Linked DNA regions of Rattus norvegicus. The protein of the gene in region 2 purifies or fractionates together with the protein of the main gene of each other region. This does not show direct contact. Links are inferred from orthologs where the notes say so. Each region holds a gene or a part of one and is shown on either strand. Other genes may lie near its edges.

The links.
Region 1: the proteins of Amhr2 (region 2) and Cdc37 purify together in Homo sapiens (co-immunoprecipitation; 3 studies listed by BioGRID and IntAct, with this or other methods). This does not show direct contact. The link is inferred for Rattus norvegicus from reciprocal best matches to the Homo sapiens genes AMHR2 and CDC37.

The regions. Positions count from the first base shown.
Region 1 is NC_086026.1:27,960,781-27,970,663, forward strand, and holds the start of Cdc37 (hsp90 co-chaperone Cdc37), read right to left. Parts: upstream 6,151-9,883; 5' UTR 6,041-6,150; coding exon 5,939-6,040; intron 1-5,938. UniProt on the Homo sapiens protein: Co-chaperone that binds to numerous kinases and promotes their interaction with the Hsp90 complex, resulting in stabilization and promotion of their activity. Inhibits HSP90AA1 ATPase activity.
Region 2 is NC_086025.1:135,454,070-135,464,316, reverse strand, and holds the start of Amhr2 (anti-Muellerian hormone type-2 receptor precursor), read right to left. Parts: upstream 6,396-10,247; 5' UTR 6,271-6,395; exon of another isoform or gene 6,005-6,270; 5' UTR 5,945-6,004; coding exon 5,896-5,944; intron 5,618-5,895; coding exon 5,435-5,617; intron 5,237-5,434; coding exon 5,045-5,236; intron 4,789-5,044; coding exon 4,717-4,788; intron 4,524-4,716; coding exon 4,405-4,523; intron 4,291-4,404; coding exon 4,060-4,290; intron 2,883-4,059; exon of another isoform or gene 551-2,882; intron 1-550. UniProt on the Homo sapiens protein: On ligand binding, forms a receptor complex consisting of two type II and two type I transmembrane serine/threonine kinases.

The DNA.
Region 1 (9,883 bases), on a different chromosome or scaffold from region 2:
CACACAGAGATTAATTTGTGGTACATAACACACACACACACACGCACACACACGCACACACACGGAGATTAAATTCACCAAAGCATTTAAGCGGGTTTCTCTGTGTAGCTCTGTCTGTCCTAGGCTGGACTTGAACGCTTGCCTTTGCCTCCTGCTGAGATTAAAGATGTGTGCCACCAAGCCCAGCAGAAAAACAAACAAACCATGCATTACAAAGTTGTTATATGTGTGTGAGTGTGTGTATTTATTTTGTAGTATTAGGGTCAAGTACTATGTCCCAAGCCATTTTATTAATGCTTCTAACATGTATGTGTGTATATGTGCTCACACACATACATCATAACATCATAGCATAGCATGTGGAGAGCAGAGGACATTGCCCAGTTCCAGAGATTGAACTCAGACCCTCGGGCTTGGGAGTAGGTTGGGTGTCTTTACCTGCTGAGTCCTTTAGCTGGCCCTATTTTGCTGTTGTTTTGAAATAGTCTTGCTATGTAGCCTGGAATCCACCGTGTAGCTGATGTTGGCTTTAAACCTGTGGTGAAGTGCCTACATCCTTCTCCCTAGGGCTCTGGTGGCAGGTAAGCACCACCATGACTAGCTTCTCACTAGTCACTTTAAAACAGTCCCTCGAAGTTGCCCAGGCTAGATCAGAACCCACTCTGTAGTCTAGGGGTCTCTGCTCTCGCAAATCCAATTCATGGCTGGCCAGGATGCTAGGTCTATGCGACCAGACGGGCACATTACTGAGTACTCCACAGCTTTACTGTGTCCACTGTGTCACGACGTCATCCACTCATCCACTCATTCAGAGACAGGCTCTTGCATGTGGTGCAGCCTAGCCTTAGCTCCTAGACGCAGATGATCCTCCTTAGCCTTCCCAGTACTGAGATTTCACATGTGTAAGTTCATCTGCCTCTGGTGACATTTACTGAACAGTGTACCACGAGTGAAAAGTAGAACCAACACACATGAGTGCTTGCATATGGGGAGAAAAATCAAAGCACTGGGACGAAAGGGTTCAGCAGGAATGTGCAGTCAAGCCTGATGACCTGGGTTTGATACCTGAGAACTACATGATAGAAAGAGAGACCTGACTCTTTCGAGCTGTCCTCCACACATGCATTCTGGGTACATGTGTAAAAACACATCTATAGCACAAACACAATTAGTGAAAAGAAAAAAATCAAGCATATGCTTGGCCCCTGGGAGTGGCACTATTAAAAGGTGTGGCCTTGTTGGAAGAAGTGTGTCACTGTGGGGGTGGGCTTGGAGGCCCTCCTCCTAGCTGCCTGAGGATGCTCAGTCATTCCTGGCTTCCTTGGGGTGAAGATGTAGAACTTAGATCCTCTAGCACCATGCCTGGCTGGATGCTGTGATGCTGCCATGGTCCCACCAAGATGATAATGGACTGAACCTCTGAACCTGTACGCCAGCCCCAAAAATTAAATGTTGTCCTTTATAAAACTTGCATTGGTTATGGTGCCTGTTCACAGCAATAAGACCCTACCTAAGACAATTACAGTAAGGAGCACTGGAGGGTAGACTGTACAGGGAATGTACAGTGGGACTGTGTTAGCAGGCATGGCTCCCAGGGAAGACAAGGAGGAGTGCTTGTGAAAACATGAGACTTATCACTCAAAAACAGACTGTGTTGCCTATAACCCCAGTACTGTAGGGAGCGGGGACAGGAGGATGACTGGGACCTGTTGGCCCCCAGCCTAGCTCCAGGATCAGTGAGAGACCCTGACTCAAGAGAATGAGCAGAGTTGGGGAAGCAGGGCACCTGTTTCCCCCTGTGTCCTCTGCATGTGAACCCCCTCGTGTGCATACAGGACAAGTCCTTAGATGCAGCAGCCCTGGCCTGTCCTAGGGGCTCTAAGGTCAGCACTCACTGGCTCCAAAGAGCAGGAACTTGCCAAGCTGCTGGCTTCTGGAGGACCGCCACCACTCTCCCTAGTGTCCTCTGAGTAGATGCCAGGGAAGCTGAAGCTAAAAACAGGGACTATGGTGTTGGTGACAGCAGCCTGGCCTGGCGTCCCTCACAGAGGGGACACTAAGGTTCTCAGACTTCTGATACCACACAGTGCTTGCTTGCCCACTTCCCAAACCTTCCCATCTTTCTTTCCTCATAGGATCCTACCCAGGACTGAACCCAGTGCCACACACTTGCTCCACAAGTGGCCTGCTACCAAGCTGCACACACCCCTTTATATTTCATAGTTTGACCTGGTGTTTCCTTTCGTTGCTGAGGCTGGCCTTGAACTTGTGACCTGCCACAGCATCCCCAGGAGCTGGAACACAAGCCTGTGACACCAGGCCAAGCCAGTTTTTTTAATTTTTATTTTTATTAATTTATTTTTGTATTTTTTGAAATAGTGTTTCTCTGTGAAGCCCTAGCTGACCTGGAATTCGCTCTGTAGACCAGGCTGGCCTCGAACTCACAGATTCACCACAGCTCCCCAGTGCTGGGATCAAAGGTGTATGCCACTACTGCTTGGCTAATTTCAAATTTTAATTTATTTTGTGCACGGTGGCAGGCACAGATGTGTGCCAGAGTGTGGATGTGGAGGTCAGAGGACACCCTGTAGTTGTCACTTCTCTCTTTCTACCATGTGACTACCAAGAATCAAACGCAGGTATGTCATCAGGCTTGGTGATTGTGTGATTTTTACATAGGTGCTCGTGTAGCCCAGGCTGGCCGCTACTTGCTATGTAGCAAAGGGTAGCTCTGAGTTCCTGATTCTTCTGCCTCCCTCCCAAGTGCTGGGATGATAGACATGCACTGTCACATCCGTCTTCAAACCACAAGGCACCTAAGCAGTGGAGACAGAACTGTTCCTCAAGGGAATCAGTTAAATACTGGGAAACTATACAGAGCAACTGTATAGAGCACCTGGGTTCTACTCCCATTCTCAAGAAGACCTGAGGCCCAGAGCAGCCAGCCAGAGCCCTCCAAGTCAGAGCACAGCAAGGCCACAGACCTGAAATATGAGCTGTCAAGTCTCTGTACTCAGAACTTATGAAGCCAGCCCCTCACAGATGGACACGGAACATGGTACAGTTAGAATGTACACCAGAGCCTGCCTGTCTCTGGGGTGGGCTAGGGCAGAAGGCCCCACTTCTCTCCTCAGTATTACAGGTATGGCAGCAAGACAGGAAGCGAGGTCTGCACCAGTACACAGGAGGCCTCCCTCCCACCCAGGAGGAAGCCAAACCTCTTCATAAACAGAAATAGGTGTTCCCTAGAATAACCATTCTCCAGCTGTGCGCGGCTCTTCAGTGCTTCCTAACACAATGCTATGTGAGGTACTGGTCTGCACTGCTGCCTGCCAGGCGGTCTTCCCAGGAAACTGGAAGGAATAGGTGTGTAGGTGGGACTAGAGCTGACTGCTGGATTTGGGGAGGATAGGGAAGGACTTTCGAGGAGTAAAGAGGAGAAGCTTTCCTCAGGAAGGTGGAATGCTAACTGCAGAGTACCTGCCAGCAGCCTGGGAGTGTAACAAGCACAGGGCTGATGAGAGAGCTCAGTGGGTGAAGGCCTGCTACCAACCCTGACGGCCTGAGTTTGATCCCGAGCCCACGTGGGTGGAGAGAACGGATTCCAGCAAGTTATCCTCTGACTGTGACAGGGTAGCGTGGCACATTTACACATACATGAGCATGAACATACACAAATACAATGTAACCTAGACAGAGTAAAGACACACAGGTATGTGGGTACAGATGCTTTAATTTGGGGGGCAGGTTAGGCCACTGTCTCTTTACTGCTGTGCTAGAGATGGAACCCAGGACCTCCTGCATGCTAGAGAGTGCTCTACCACTCAACTACATCTTCAGACCACCCTTACATCTAGGTAGTACACTATGGGCCTGCAGGCAATGCTGGCACAAGAGAGGCGGAAGAGCATGGCTTGCTCACACTTGGGGATCTGACGGTCTCAGTCTAAGGCATCTGTTATGGGCAGATTTAAAACTGTGTAGGACTTTATTTTATCTGCCTAGTGATCGACAGGATTCCCTGAGCCCGTGCCAGCCTCATACTTACTATGTGGCTGATGACTTTGAACTTCTGAGCCTCCTGCTTCTATCTTCTCAGTGCTGAGACTACGGGCCTGCCCCACCATGGCTAGCTTTTAAGCCAGATGGAGCCCAAGGCAATGCTTACAACTGAATTCCAGCCCATTTGGTTTTTGAGACAGGGTCTCACGTAGTCCAGGATAGCCTAGAATTTGCCCTATAGCAAGGATTAACTCTGAATTCCAGATCCTTCTACCTCCACCTCCTAAGACCTGAGTTTACAGGTGTGCTACAATGCTCAGAAAGTAAGGTAATGTTGGAACAAGATCCAGGAGGTGCAGAGTTAAATAGAATGATATGAACCCTCGAGAGGCCAATGAAACTGGAGAGGAAGGGCAGGTAGGACAGGAAGGGTTTGGTTTTCTGGGTTGGGATTGGGTGAGCTGTCTTTTCCTTCTCCTTTCCCCCTTTTCTCCCCTCCCCCACTTTCTTTCTCTGTCCTATCCTGCCACTGGACTCCATGCCTCCAAACAGAGTACCCCTATTTAGCTGTGCTGGAACTCTCTGTAGACCAGGCTGGCCTTGAATTCACAGGCCCGCCTGCCTCTGCTTCCTGAGAGCTGGGATTAAAAGTATGTGTCATCACCATCCGGTTTGGTGAGTATTCAATGATGGCTACAAATCATACAGGAGCCAATGTGGGCAGAATGGGGGTCTACTTACTATACTACTAGGAGCAGAGGTTCTGACCGGAAGTTAAGTGGGTGGGGTTTCCTGGAGTAAGGGGAAATAAGAATCTACAGGAGGTGAAAATAAGGAAAGCCACTAGAATTGGATGATGGGCAAGAGTGGAGCTGGGGGTCAAATAGAGAGGCTAAGGGGGCTCTAACACTGAAGTCCCAAGTGTAGCTCTGGTCTATAACCCAGGGAAATCGATCCTGGACTGGGAATCCCAGCTGCAAACTAAGATTGACCATTAAATTAAGAGCAGGGCACAGCCCTCATTTAGTTTGGAAGTTAGGGGGTTGGGGGTTCGGGGGGTTGTCTCTGGGCCTTAATGGAAATTCGTGCCTAAGATCCTGGGAAGTAGATGCCACAATCAGAACGAAGTTTTATGGATCCAGACTCTAGGGGGTGGGGAGAGGCAGAACGGAGATGTGCAATCAGAAGTGGGTGCATGGCTGGGATATGAGATCACCTAACAAAACCTGGGTCCAGACTCTGAGGAAGAATTCTGAGAACAAAAGGTTCCACAAAGGATGATGGGGACCCTACACACATGGGTCAGCTTCGGAGGTGGGGTGGGGTCTAGACTCTGACTAAAGAGTATTAAGAGCTGATAAAATGACTCAGTGTACAGGTGCTTGTGGCAACTCGGGGTGACCTGAGTTCCACACCCAGTTCCAACGAAGTGAAAAGAGAGGCCCAACTTCTGCAAGTTATCCTGTAATCTTCCTTTGCATGCTGTGCCACGTGCACACAAGAACACACACACAATAAGTAAACGTACAAACAGAAGAGATCCACAGCACAGAGAGAAAGCCCGGAGATACAGATGAAGAATTAGAATGAAGAATCCAGGAGTCCTGGGATTAAAAGGTCCAGCCCAGCATGATGGCACATGTCTTTAACCTCAGCACTGGGAAGGCAGAGGCAAGAGGATCTCCGTGAGTTAGAAACCAGCCTCTTCTATATAGCAAGTTCCAGGCCAGGCAAGACTACCCAGTGAGATTTTGTTTTTAAAAAAAGAAGAAAGAAAAGAAAGGGGGAAAGTCTAGATTGTGGAACAGGAGGCTCTGGATGTCAAGAACTGAGGTCTCCCCCGCCCCCCACGCCAGGCGGCCTGGCTAAGAGGTCAGAACTCTAGAGCGGGGGGTCCCGGGAGTGGGGGGAAGGGGATGAGCGCGCACAGCCCCACCTGGTGCCGCCAGCGGAACAGGCTGGCCGTGTCTATGTTGGGGTGCGTCTCGTCCTCATCGTCCGACACCTCGATGTGATCCCAAACGCTGTAGTCCACCATCTTCGCCTCGGAGGCCCGGACTGGCTCCCGGGTCTCCACACGGCCGGGCGCTGAACAGGGACCCACAAGGGCTAGAGAGTCCGCTCGCCCCGCCCCGCCCCTTCCGCTTCCGCCCAGGGCGCCGCGCACGACGGCCCCGCCCCAGCGTCGGCGCATGACGTTCGTCCTTAGCAACGGGAGTCGGCGGCATTGGCAACCGGAGGTCATCTTTAAAGGGCCAGGAGTACGTGGTGCGGCCTTCTGGAAGTTCCCGCCGAAACCAGACTGAACATCCTTTAGAGACAAAAGGTTAGTCTTGTTGGGCGTGGTGGCCCACGGTAATCCAAGTATGCTAGGGGCGAAAACAGGTGGCTCTCTACAAGTTCTAGTCCAGCCAGGGTACATATTGAGACTGTCAAAAAGTCAAAATTGGCTGGGCAGTGGGGACGCAATCTGGCGGATCCAGGCCAGCCTGGTCTACAGAGTGATTTCTAGGACCGTAAGGGTTGTTACACAAACAAACATTCTAAAAAAAAAATAAGTCAAAATTGAGCCTGGAGAAATGGCTCAATGGTTTGGAGAACTGGCTGGTCCTCCCTCACCTACATGGCGGCTCGTACCTATCTGGTAAGTCCATCTCAGGGTATATTGCGCCCCCTTCTGGCCTTCACCCACACCGAGCATGCATGTGGTACACAGATATACTTGCAGGCAAAATATTAATACGCATAGTTTTTTTTAATGATGTTTGCCCTTAAATAGTTTTTTTCCCCAGACAGGGTCTCACTGTATAGCTCCGGCTGTCCTGGAATTCACTATGTAGACCAGGCTGTCTTCAAATGAACAGATCTTTCTACTTCTGCTTCCCAATGCTGGGGTTAAAGGTGTGCACCACTACACCAGACCTGCCCTTAATTTTTTTTTAAAGATTTATTTATTTATATAAGTACACTGTAGCTGCCTTCAGACACACCAGAAGAGGGCATCAGATCCCATTCCAGATGGTTGTGAGCCACCATGTGGTTGCTGGGATTTGAACTCAGGACCTCTGGAAGAGCTGTCGGTGCTCTTAACCACTGAGCCATCTCTCCAGCCCTGCCCTTAATTTTTAAAAAAATATTTATTTGTTTGTTTGTTTGTTTGTTTTGAGACAGAGTTACTCTATGTAGCCTTGACTTTCCTCAAACTCACTCTATAGAGGAGAATAGCCTTGAACTCAGAGCTGTGACTGCCTCATTCTCCGAAGATTAAGTGCTGGGACTAAAGGCATACAGCAGGACCACCTGGCTAGCTAAATAAATAAATAAACAAATAAATATTTAATTAAATTACATCTTAGGTGCTGAAGTGATGGCTCAACAGTTAAGAGCACTGGCTGCTTTTTCAAAGGACTCTGGTTCAATTTCCAGTATCCATATAGCAACTCATATCTGTCTGTAACTCCAGCTCCAGGAGATCTGACACTCTCACACAGGTATATATGCAGACACAATACACGTAAAATAAAAAATAAATAAGTTGGAGGGGTTTTTTTGTTTGGAATTTTTCTCCCTGAGATGGATTCTCAGTGTAACCAGGTGTCCTGGACTTGCTCTGTACACCAGGCTGGCCTCAAACTCAAAGATCTACCTGCCTCTGCCCCCTGAGTGCTAGGATTAAAGGCATGCACCACTATGTTCAGCTAAATATGTAGGTTTTTTAAATTACATTTTATTAATTTTGTGTGTGTTTGTACACCTGTGAACATCAAAACAACTTGGTGAAGTCAGTTTTGTTCCACCATGTGGGTCATCAGACTTGGTAGTAAGTACCTTTATCAACTAAGCCGTCTCCCTGGCCCCAGTCCTTTAAAAAAAGAAGTCTCTGTGTGTGTGTGTGTGTGTGTGTGTGTGTGTGTGTGTGTGTGTGTGTTAGGTACAAATACCAGGGTACACATGTGAAGGTCTTAAGATCATTTACTGGAGTTAGTTCTCCTCTTTACCTCGAGGTCCCTTTGGATCAAACTTTAGTCGTCCAGCTTTGGTAGACAGCACCTTTACCCGCTGAGCCATCTCATCAGCTCCGGTACTTAAAAAAGAAATTCCACTCATCGGTCGGCGGTGGTGGCACATTCCTTTAATTCCAGCACTTGGGAAGTGGAGGCAGCCAGTTTGGTCTACCTAGTGAGTACCAGGATAGCCAGAGCTGTAGAGAGACGGTATCTCAAAACAAATATTAGATTTATTTATTTATGGGGAAGATGGCGAGTTCTATAAGTGCACATTCTGAAGTCAGAAAACAACTTCTGGGAGTCAGTTGACTTCTTCCACAATGATGATCCCAGGTGTTGTACTCACGTCTTTATTCTTAGTGGCAAGTGGAGTGGAGACTGAGGCTTGAAGTGCCCCTTGACTTAACCCTGCTCTAGGGTTGAAAGAAGTGTTTCAACTCCAGGGTTGGTAGTGCCAGATGTTACAGACCCGTCCTTGAGTGAGGATCAGAAGCAGATGGTGATTAACACAGTCTGGGGAGTTCATACTCTAACACCACCACGCGCCACTCCCACTCCTGCAGCCCTCTTCGTCCAGAATCCATCACCTAAAAAATGTCTCCTTTTTTCGCCTCTGGGTGTCGCTGATGTTTAAGCAGCGACAGCGTTGGCAGCCCTGCCCCCAGGGGGACCCCCGAAAGCACTGGACACGGCTTTCCTGGTCCTCACTATCTGGGGCTGGTGCCCACAGCCTCTTCCAGCTCCCCTTAACCTCTCAATTTCGGCTGGGGCTTGAAGGAGTCCATTGTTTTGAGTTTGAGGTACTCAGGGTCGCACATCCCTCTCAATGTTTTGATACAGGTTTTAGAAACTCACGATGCATCCTGGGGCCAGGATTATTTTAGATTAAGGGATGCATTTTGCGGTGGGGTCAGGTGGAAGAAGAGTGCTTTCCATTTGGCTTGGGAAGGGTCCCTTCCCAGCTTTTCCGGAGCTGTTAGAAAGGGGGCTTTCTGAAACGATAAAGATCTGCAGATTTGGGGGTGTTCCCCATCCGTGGAGCCCGGAGCGGTGGTGGGCATAAAAACCCCTACCCGCTGTGGCCCCTCCCCCTCTCGCTCATTCAAACTCACGAGTGGGTGGGAGGAGCCGGGGAGTCCCCTTTCTCTATCCCTCCTCCTCCTCCAGCTTGGCAATTCACCAGAGCAGCAGCGGTCTATCCTAGCCTGGGCACGCGCATGATAGACATACATCGGGAGGGTCTCCCACACGCCCACACACAGCATCAAAGGGTCTGGACACCCGCCCCCTCCCACTGTCCCGACCCCAGGCCAGAGAGGGCGGAGCTCCTCTGTTCAGCCCCTCTTTCCCAGCAAGGTGAGTTTTGGGATTGCCAGCAATGTGTGTTGGGGAGTGACGGGGGTGGGGGGTGGGGCGACTCCGGGAAGGTAGGGCATCAAAACCATGGGTTTCCTCTAGCTTTCTTTGAAAGCAATGATTCCCTCCACTCTTGCCTTGGTTCTTGTAGGGTCTCCACATCACCTCACCCTGTGTGGTGTGTGTGTGTGTGTGTTCCCAACTAGGCTCCTGACACCGAGCTGCCTAATGGCAGGAACTGGGACCTCCCACCTCATCACCAAGCATTACCAGCTGTGTCCAGCCCCTGGGGACTGGGAAAGATACCCAAACCCAAGTTACTTAGAGCTGTTTCTCTATCTCGAGTCCCCGGTGGCCCGCCTTCTCCCAGAGCAGAATGCTGTGGTGTATCTTGTTTCTTTGGAATGCTGGTGGGGGAATTAGGACTGTTTCTGGGCTGGGCTGAGAGGTGGGAATCCTTGCTGCAAACATCACTGAGTTGCAGTGAGATCTCAGAGATTCCAGCCATTTGTTGTGCA
Region 2 (10,247 bases):
GATACTGCGTGCCTGCCACCCCAGCACTTGGGAAGTGGAGGAAAGGGGGAATCAGGAACAAGCCGCGCACGCACGCACGCACACATAAATTATAATTTTAGCCAGACAAAGTAGCACATGCATGTAATCTCAGCACTCAAGAAGCTGAACCAGGAAGCTCCTACACTGAAGGCCCAATATGTAAAAAAAAAAAATTAAAAAGTACCTTAATTTAATGCGACCCAGGCCCTTAGAACAGGGCCTCCTACAGACCTCGTGAGAACCCCAGGGTGAAGGCAGTCTGGTTACCCTGATTTTTATAGGGCTTTTCTTTTCTTTTTCTTTCCCTCCTTTATTTAAAAACAATCAGTACACTTTGTGTGTGGGGGTATGTGGGTACCCACATGCTACATGGCGCGTGTGGAGGTCAAAAGACAACTTGCTAGAGTTGGTTTTCTCCTTTCACTGTAGAAGCTCTAAGGGGCTGGCTCCGGCCTTCATTTGGGGTGGAAGCACCTTTACCCATGAACCACCTCGCTGGCCCTTTTACTCCTTCCCTTTCCCCTTTTAGGCAGGATCTCTCTGGTATGTATGCAACCCTGGCTGACTTGGAAGTCACTAAGAAGAGGAGACCGCCATCAACTTTGCAGTGATCCTACTGCCTCCGCCAGCAGCACACGCTGGAGTGGAGGTGGAGCTTTCGCGCATGCTGAGTAAGCTTTCTTGAGGGCAGATAACCCAAGTGGAGCTGTAATCCAAGGAGAGTCAGCAGTCTGTCTGAGAGTCACTGTCAAATGCTGGTCAAGGGCGTCTGTCCCTCCAACCACCTGGCCTGGGCTAACAGGGCTGCACAGACTTAGATGGGTGGAGCCAATGGAAGAGGAGCAACTGGGAACCGCATTCACGAACCTGCTGAGCGCCTTTAGAATGGCTCGGGTGTGCCCAGGCAACACTGTGCCTCAGGAAAAGGGGAGCGTGATGGAAGCGGAGAACTTAATAAATACCACAATATAGAGATGAACTAGGTGTTGGGGATTTAGCTCAGTGGTAGAGCGCCTGCCTAGCAAGCGCAAGGCCCTGGATTCGGTTCTCAGCTCCGAAAAAAAAAAAAAGAAAAAATGAACTAAATGTCAGGCTATAAAGCACCCATGATTGACAGCACGTGTGCCTAGCCAAAAATTTATCTCCACTTCCCAAATGTGTACCACAATGCCTGGATTTTTCTTCTTTTTTTCTTTTTCTTTTTTTTTTTTTAGGGGGGAAGAGGGGTGCGGGGATTAGAGATATGCACCACCACAACTGGAGTTCTAGTATTTTTTTTTTTTTTTCGGAGCTGGGGACCAAACCCAGGGCCTTGTGCTTGCTAGGCAGGCGCTCTACCACTGAGCTAAACCCCCAACCCCTGGAGTTCTAGTATTTTCTTTCTTTTTTTTTAAACATTTCTCTTAGTTTTAACTGGATGTGGTAGCACATGCCTTTCATACCAGCACTCTGGAGGCAGAGGCAGGTGGATCTCTGTGAGTTTGAGGCCAGCCTGGTCTCAGGCTGGTTTCAGGATAGTCAGGGCTACCTAGAGAGGCCCTGTCTCAAACAAACAAACAAACAAACAAACAAACATTAATTTTACTTTGGGGGCTAGAGAGGCTCCCAGGACCCACAACAATACACTGCCTATAGCTCCAGCTGCAGGGACTGTGGCCTCTAATCTGAGAGCACCCACATCCATGTGCACACACCCACAAAAGAGAGAGGGGCTCAAACCCATAAATTAAAAAAAAACTTTAAAAAAAAAAGTATGGGTATTGCGACTTATGTGTGTGTCCGCAGGTGCCCATGGAGACCAGAAGAGGGCGCTGCATCCCCTGGAGTTACAGGCCATTATGACAGCTGGCATAGGTGCTGGGAGAGTAGCCAGTGCTCCTAACTGCTGAACCATCTCTCCTGCCCCAAATCTGGCTTTTTAAATGCATTTCTGAGAGCTGAATTCAGACCCTCATGCACAGCAGGCACTTTATTGACTAAGCTATATACCAGGGCCGAAAACTTATTCTTTAATAGACCCAGGAGGACTGTGGTCAAAGGGGGAACTTTCCAGAACTCAAGACCTCAGCAATGAAGGAGTTGTAGAGGCTGGTAAAGTCTGGGAAAGAGCCACTGCATTCAAGCTTGCTAGGAGCTGACGTACAATCAGGGCAAAGGCACAGGGTGATCTCACTCAAAGGAACAGACAGCACTGACACTGGATAAACAGGAGATAGCAGCAGTTCAGTGAGGAACCAGACTCTCAAATCACATATCCAGAGCAAACCAGCTTCCTTTTCTTGTCTCTGAATACAATTCCTACCTGATGGTGTGCTTCTGAAAGTAAAACACGTGAATGGGTTCAAAGTGCCTCGCCTAGGACTTCAAATGCACCCCAGTGTTCAGCAGGCCCAGGTTCCATGTGGTCTCACCTCTGCCTATGCCGTCGACCTTATTTGCTTTTGTTTGGGGGGCTTTGTTTTGTTTTGGATAGGGTCTTACTTTGTAACCTTAGCTGGCTTTGAACTCACATAGATAAGCCTGCCTCTGCCTCCCAAATGCTGGGGTTCAGGGTATGCCCCACTGCGCTCAGGCCTGATTTATTTCTTTGAGTCAGGGTCATATGTAACCCAGGCTAGGCTGGAGTTCACTTTTTTTAAAAGATTTATTTATATTTATTATATATGAGTACACTGCCGCTGTCCTCAGACACACCAGAAGAGGGCATCAGATCTCATTACAGATGGTTGTGAGCCATCATGTGGTTGCTGGGATTTGAACTCGGGACCTCTGGAAGAACAGTCAGTGCTCTTAACCACTAAGCCATCTCTCCATAGGCTGGAATTCTTTTTTTTTTTTTTCCCGGAGCTGGGGACTGAACCCAGGGCCTTGCGCTTCCTAGGCAAGCGCTCTACCACTGAGCTAAATCCCCAACCCCCATAGGCTGGAATTCTTATAGTCAAGTCCTACTATCCAGCTTGGCTTGGCATCTTCTTGTTAATCTCTCACCTCAGGTTATATACATCTTTTCTTTTTATTAAAACTGGGAGAAATGGTTCAGTACTTACACTGGCTGCTCTTCCAGGGGACTGGAGTTTAATTCCCATTACCCAGCTATTCTGAAAGCCCCAGGAGAGCTAATTTCCTCTCCTGACTTTCATGGGTGCCTGGTGTGCACACAGTGCACAGACATATGTGCAGGTGAAACACCTATATACACTTTTTTAAAAGCCACATCTGAGTGCATTGTGGTGGTCAGAGGACAACTTTGTAGAGTTCTCTACTCCCTTGACTTGGGTTCTGGGAACTGAACTTTGGTCCCCAAGGCTTGCACAGTAAGTAAGCATCTTCACCAGCTGAGCCATCTCGACCGTCCCTCAGGTTGAATTGTATCATTATTATTTCTTACTGTTCCCAGTGCCCTGTCCCAGCTCTCAGCACACCATACTTGACATTTGCGACTTCCTTTTCTATGACCCATTAGTCTATGACGCCTGTAAAACCAGGGGCCATGTGGGCTTCTCTCGGCATCTAGAAGTGCTTGCCACATAGTTTATAAATATTGGTTAAATGAACATATGAATGAGTTTACAAAGCTATTCCTGGATGTGTACTTAACAATGGCCCTCTTCTAGCCAGGCAGGAGTGGCACAAGCTTTTAATCCCAGTGCGTGGGAGGCAGAGGCAGGCAGATCTCTGTGTGTTCAAGGACAGCCTGGTCTACAGCACAAGTTCCAAGACAGACAGCCAAGGCTACACTGAGAAACTGTCTCAAGAATGGTGTGTGTGGGGGTTGGGGATTTAGCTCAAGTGGTAGAGCGCTTACCCAGGAAGCTCAAGGCCCTGGGTTCGGTCCCCAGCTCCGAAAAAAAAGAACCAAAAAAAAAAAAAAAAGAATGGTGTGTGTGTGTGTGTGTGTGTGTGTGTGTGTGTGTGTGTGTGTGTGTATTCAAAAGAAAGTATAAGGCAGGAGAGTAGGCATGAGTAAGGCCCAGTGGTCATGTAGCGCCCCATAGGAGTAGTGCATAATATAGACTACAGAGATTTCTTGATGCTCACCTTAGGGTACAGTTCCAGTACCAGCAAAGGCCCAGAGGGCAAGGGGCCAGGGCCTCCCTGGCCAGCAGTGATAAAGCGAACAATGTGGTTATGCTGTAGGCCTAGCAGCTGGTACACAGCTCGCTCAGCTCGGAACTGGGCCACAGCCCTTGGGGGGAAGGCCTTGATGGCTACCATCTCACCCTGGAGCCTCCCAGCCCAGACGACTGCATGACCTCCTTCCTGGATTACCTGGTAGAGACACTGCATTGAGTGTGGGCCTCAGAGCTAGCGCCAGGGCCAGCCTTCCTCCCCAGCAGAACCTCCAGGAGTGCCAAAAGAGCCCACCCTCCTTCCCTGGAGCACCTGGGAGAAGCGCAGCTCAGCCAACTCGGGCAGTTCCTCACTGCAGTCTCCTCCTGAGCCTGGCTCCGGCTCCGGGTCTGACCCACCTTGCACTCTACAGGCTTTTCGTTGTAACAGGGCTGAAGTAGAGAAGAGTCTTAGGGTAGGGTGCACAGGATGGAGACAGCCAGGGGAGCTATGTGGGAAGAGAGCATCTTGCAAGGAAATGTAAAAGAAAATCCCAGACCTGGGGGCTCAGCAGGGCCCAGAGGAGGCTTGGCCCTTTGGGCAAGTGTCATGCTATCACAAGGGAGGGGTGGGAGAGGTCGGTACCCAAGATGATGATACTCAGCAGCAGCACAAGGAACACTCCCAGCAGCAGCTGCGCCATCCAGATGGGCCCACCTGGACAGCAAGGGAAGATGGCACGGCACACGGGGGTGAGCACTGAACCTCTCCCCTCTTCAAAGAGATTACTTTCCAATCCACCCCCATGCTGGTCGCAAGCCCCCTTATCTCCCAGTCACCAGGGCAACCAACTTTCCAAGGCCAGGAGGAGGGAAAGTTTGGGCGGAGGTGGGGTGAGAACTGGCCCCGGTTCTCACCCTGACCTATGCTTCTGCTCCCCAGTGGGCTCTAGTAACCTGGGGAAGGCAATTACCTGGGGTAGCCTGAGGCTCCTGGGGGCCGGGAGCCCCTCGGTTTCCTGAAGGAGGCAGATGGCTGTAGTTGGCATTGCAGAAGTCGGTACCGCAGGAGCATGTGAAGAGTGTGGAGCTGGGGCTGGGGTGCGCTCGGGGGACGGGGTCACAGTGGAGGGACTCACAGCCGGGTTCATCACTGTCTAGGCATCCTGAAGGGGTGGGGTTAGGGGAAGGAGGGAAAGGAAAGAGAGTTCCATAAGGTTTGGGGACAGAGAACAAATCCGGGCTCTGTCAAAGGCATCTGACATGCCTTTTCCCCCCTCTACACATTCCACTTCTCCCCTTCCTTTTGGCTGCCTCCCTTAACCTAGACATGCCTCTCGCCCACCACGTGTTTTGTCATTCACCTTGCATCTCCACTTGTGCCCGGCCATGGGTCAGATTCCAGATCCCAAAGCAGCAATGGCTGTAGAGGCAGCGGATACCCTTCGGGGGGCCTGGTCCTGCATCTACCACTTCCCCCAGTGTTTTTGTGCTTCCCCGAACTCCAGGAGCCTCAAAGAACACACAGGTCCTCCTGTTTGGGGATACTGAAGCCCAAGGTGAAGGGAGTCAAGAAGGGAGTGAAGGCAAGGACAAATAGCAGTCAAGCATAGACAAAACATGATGTCTAGATCCCAGGTCAGTACAGCAGAGCCACAGGACACTGGCTCAGCAGAGGCCTGAGCTCTAAGCCCCACCATGGGAACCTGGGCTCTGCCTTTCCTCCCAGCCCCCTGGCCTCTTTCAAATGGGTGGCTGCTGCTTCAAGTACACCTTTCCCTTACTGAGTGGTGTAAAGACCCTGCCCCTCTCTGTAGACACTTACCTTGTGCAGCTGCAGGAAGCAGTGTCCAAAGCCCCAGTGTCCCCAGCATCCTACTAAAGGATGTCAGCAGGACAGCACACACCAGCACAGCTACCCTCGTCAACGCTTCCTACAAATACAGGGCACTGTGGGGCTTCCAAGCCCTCAATCCCCAACTCCGCCCCCCTCTGCCCTATCCCAGTCTCTGTGGGGGAGAAGGCTGCTGTGGGGGAGAGGTGGGTGTGAGGAAAACAGGGAGAAAAAGGGAGGAGCAGAGAACCAATCTCTCTCTTCAACTACCTCCTCTCTTCTCTGCAGAGCAGGGAGGAAGGGACCTTGGCTGTCCTGCTGAGAACCCTGTGATAATTAATTCTGAAATCTCTATCCCTTACTGACCTTGGAAGAAGGTGCTGGACCTTCCGTCTTTTTCAGAAAGATATTTTGGGCGCTCAGCTCTGCCCAAGATGGTTCCCATGGATTGAGAACTCATTTGTAGCATCCTGAACAGAGAAGACTTCACAAAGTTGATCTCATTTTTCAAACTCAAAAATCAGAAAGGATGTGAAATTTTTCAGAGAAGACCTGGTGAGATGCCACAGTGATCAAAAGCACTTGGAGCCCTCGTGGAAGAATCATGTTTGGTTTACCCACATGGCAGCTCACAACTGTTTGTAACTATGGTTCCAAAAGATTTGATGTCCTCTTCTGGCCTTTATGGGCACAGGCGTGCATGTGATGTCAAACACCCAAGCAAATGAAATAAAATAAGAACACATGCTCCTGGGCTGGAGAGATGGCTCAACAGTTAAGAGCACTGACTGCTCTTCCAGAGGTCCTGAGTTCAATTCCCAGCAACCACATGGTGGCTCACAACCATCTGTAATGAGATCTGATGTGTGTCTAAGACAGCTACAGTGTACTCATATACACTAAATAAATAAATAAATATTAAAAAAAAAAAGCAGAGTGAGATTTTATCCTGGGTATGTATGACTCCAAATCCCACACTCTGTTCTCTGTATTATACAATGTTGCCTTAAAACAAATGCAAACTTCAGAGGCTAAAGAAATGTTTCTCTCTCTGGAGAGATGGCTTAATGGTTAAGAGCACTGACCGCTCTTCCATAGGTCCTAAGTTCAATTCCCAGCAACCACCTGGTGGCTCACAACTATCTGTAAAGAGATCTGGTGTCATCTTCTGGTCTGCAGGCGTACAAGCAGGCAGAAAGCTGTATGATGTATACGTAATAAATAAATAAATAAATAAATATTTTAAAAAATGTTTCCATAGTGGGCATGGTGCAGGCCTTTAACCCCAGCACTTAGAGAGGCAGATGGATCTGAGTTCAAGGCCAGCCTGGTTAATGGCAAATTCTAGGACAGCCAGGGCTACATATACTATGTCTCAAAAACAAAAACAAACAAAAAAACAAAAACAAACAAACAAAAACACTTTCACTGTCTACAGAATTTCAACATTTGAATTGGGATTGCTGAGAAGTGTGTACCAGATAGCATGTTTGCCAACCGGCCAACAACTGGGAAGGGAACCTACAGTTCAAAATCTCACCACCAGAGGTCAGCAGGCATAGAAGAAATTTGTCCCTGGCAAGAGGACCTCCTCAGGTGACTAATATTTACATCACGCTTCCAAAACGTCCTAAACTGGAGTACTATAAAATATAAAGAAAGGCCACAGGGTGTGTAAGAGGGCAAGTCCACATGAACAAAGGGTCTGTGGCTTGTGTTGCCGTAGAGTGAGGCATGCAGACTCATTTTCCCCAGAGTTAGAAACCAGTCATGGGTTATCATGTCCACACCTGTGAGTAGCTGGCTTCAAAGAGCTGGTTAAAGAGGACTAGTTCCCCGTTCACGCTTCTGACCCCGTTCTGTTCTGGCTGCCTTTCTCAGGATGACCTAACTTAGATCACAGGTGACCGTACCAGCTCATAGTGGGCGGGGCCTTTCTCCTGGGGAGCACGTGTGAGAGGAGGCAATAGCTGTGAGACAGGGTGGCTTCCGCCGCCTTGTGGAAGTCTGCAGGGCTGTGCTGGAAAGGTGTGGGATGTTGTGCTTAGTTCCTGCTGTCCTCCTTCACCAGACCCCAGATCAGATAAGTGGGGATGTGGGTAATTGAAGATCAAATGGCTTCTTTTGTTTGGAATGTCTCTGGAGACCCTCTCCTCCAGAGTGGGAGCAAGGGGAGCGCCTTCAGTCAAAGCTTTGGGTCACTATTTCTTTTGAAGACAGAGACAACCCAGAACCCAGTGGCTCATTCCTGTAATTTCAGTATTTAGAATTAAGAGGCAGGAAACTGCTGCAAGTTGGAGGCCATCTTGGGCTATATAGTCAATCCCAGTCCGTTCCAGAACTAGAGTGAGACCTTGTCTCAGGGTTGGGGGGGCAGGGGTGTGTGTGTGTGTGTGTCGACAACCGCAGTTAGAGAGACAGAACCTGAGTTGGAATCCCAAGCGGACAAAAACAAAGCAACAAATCAAAACAAAAACCAAACTGTGGGGTTGGGGATTTAGCTCAGTGGTAGGGCGCTTGCCTAGCATGCGCAAGGCCCTGGGTTCAATCCCCAGCTCTGAAAAAAAAACAAAAAACAAAAACCAAACAAACTGTGTGTGTAACTGTAGCTCCAGAGGAGCCAGCACTTTCTTCTGACACTAGGATGCCTGTGCCTGCACACATGCACACACATATACACAAATCTCTCTCCCCCTTCCCATCTCTGTCTCTGTCTCTCTGAGCTGGTAGCACAGGCCTGTAATCTCAGTTACTTGGCTGAGGTGGGAGGATTAAAACCGCAAGGTTTGCTGGGATATAGAGGGAGTTCAAGGACAGCCTACAAAACTTAAAGAATAAAAACAAAGCCAGGCATGGTGGCAGATACCTTTAATCCCAGGACTTGGAACAGGCAGTAGGATGTGTGTATATATGACAATAGAACAGAGGTGGAGGGAAGAAGAGAGAGAACATGCTAGAGTAGATGAGACTTGAGAAAGAAGGACACAAGATGGAACACCAACGCTTTAGTGTCAGACAGTAATGTCTCTGAAGGAGACTGGAAGGGCTGGAGAAGACAGGTGATTTAGTGTCACACTCTGTTTTTTGCCAATGTTGGCTGACTTAATTTTCACCACCAGATATGTGTGTGCACACAAACTCCACACAGTGCCGCTTTGTAAACCGGGTTGTTCTGAGGCCTACTTGCTTCTGCCTCCTGAGTGCTGAGATTATAGATCTAAGTCACCACACTTGGGTTATAGTTATTCTTTATATCTCTTTGAGTGCTGTGTGTGCATGTATACCTGAAAGTCAGAGGTCAACCCGCAGAGATGGTTCTCTCCTCCCACCATTTTGGTGCCAGGGCTCAAACTCAGGTTGTCAGGCTTAGGGGCAAGTACCTTTATCTGTTGGGTCATGGAGCCAGATGGCTTTATTATATCTTGCTTTATCTAAAAGATTTTACTTTTTTATTTAATTAGAGACAGAGTCTATATCTATATAGCCTTGGATATTCTTTTAGTTTTAACTATGTTTTTAAAGATTTATTTATTTTATATGAGTACACTGTAGCTGTCTTCAGACACACCAGAGGAGGGCATCAGATCTCATTACAGATGGTTATGAGCCACCATGTAGTTGCTGGGATTTGAACTCAGGACCTCTGGAAGCAGTCAGTGCTCTTAACCGCTGAGCCATCTCTCCAGCCCTTTAATTATGTTTATATGTGTGTGTCCACCTGGGAGTTTGTGTACTTAAGTACAGTATCTTCAGAGGCCAGAAGAGGACATCATTTCCTGGAGCTGGAGTTACAGGCAGTTGAAAGCTGCCAGATGTGGGTCCTCTCGAAGAGCAGCAAGCATTCTTTTTTGTTGTTGTTGCTTTTCTTCTTCTTCTTCTTCTTTCTTCTTCTTCTTCTTCTTCTTCTTCTTCTTCTTCTTCTTCTTCTTCTTCTTCTTCTTCTTCTTCCTCCTTCTTTTTCCTCCTCCTCCTCCTCCTCCTCCTCCTCCTCCTCCTCCTCCTCCTCCTCCTCCTCCTCCTCCTCCTCCTCCTCCTCCTCCTCCTCCTCCTCCTCCTCCTCCTCCTCCTCCTCCTCCTCCTCCTCCTCCTCCTCCTCCTCCTCCTCCTCCTCCTCCTCCTCCTCCTCCTCCTCCTCCTCCTCCTCCTCCTCCTCCTCCTCCTCCTCCTCCTCCTCCTCCTCCTCCTCCTCCTCCTCCTCCTCCTCCTCCTCCTCCTCCTCCTCCTCCTCCTCCTCCTCCTCCTTCTCTGATACACAAAGTTTCTCCTCCATAACAGCTCTGGTTGTTCTGGAACTCTTGTAGGTTAGGCTGGTCTCAAACTCAGATCTGCCTACATTTTGAATG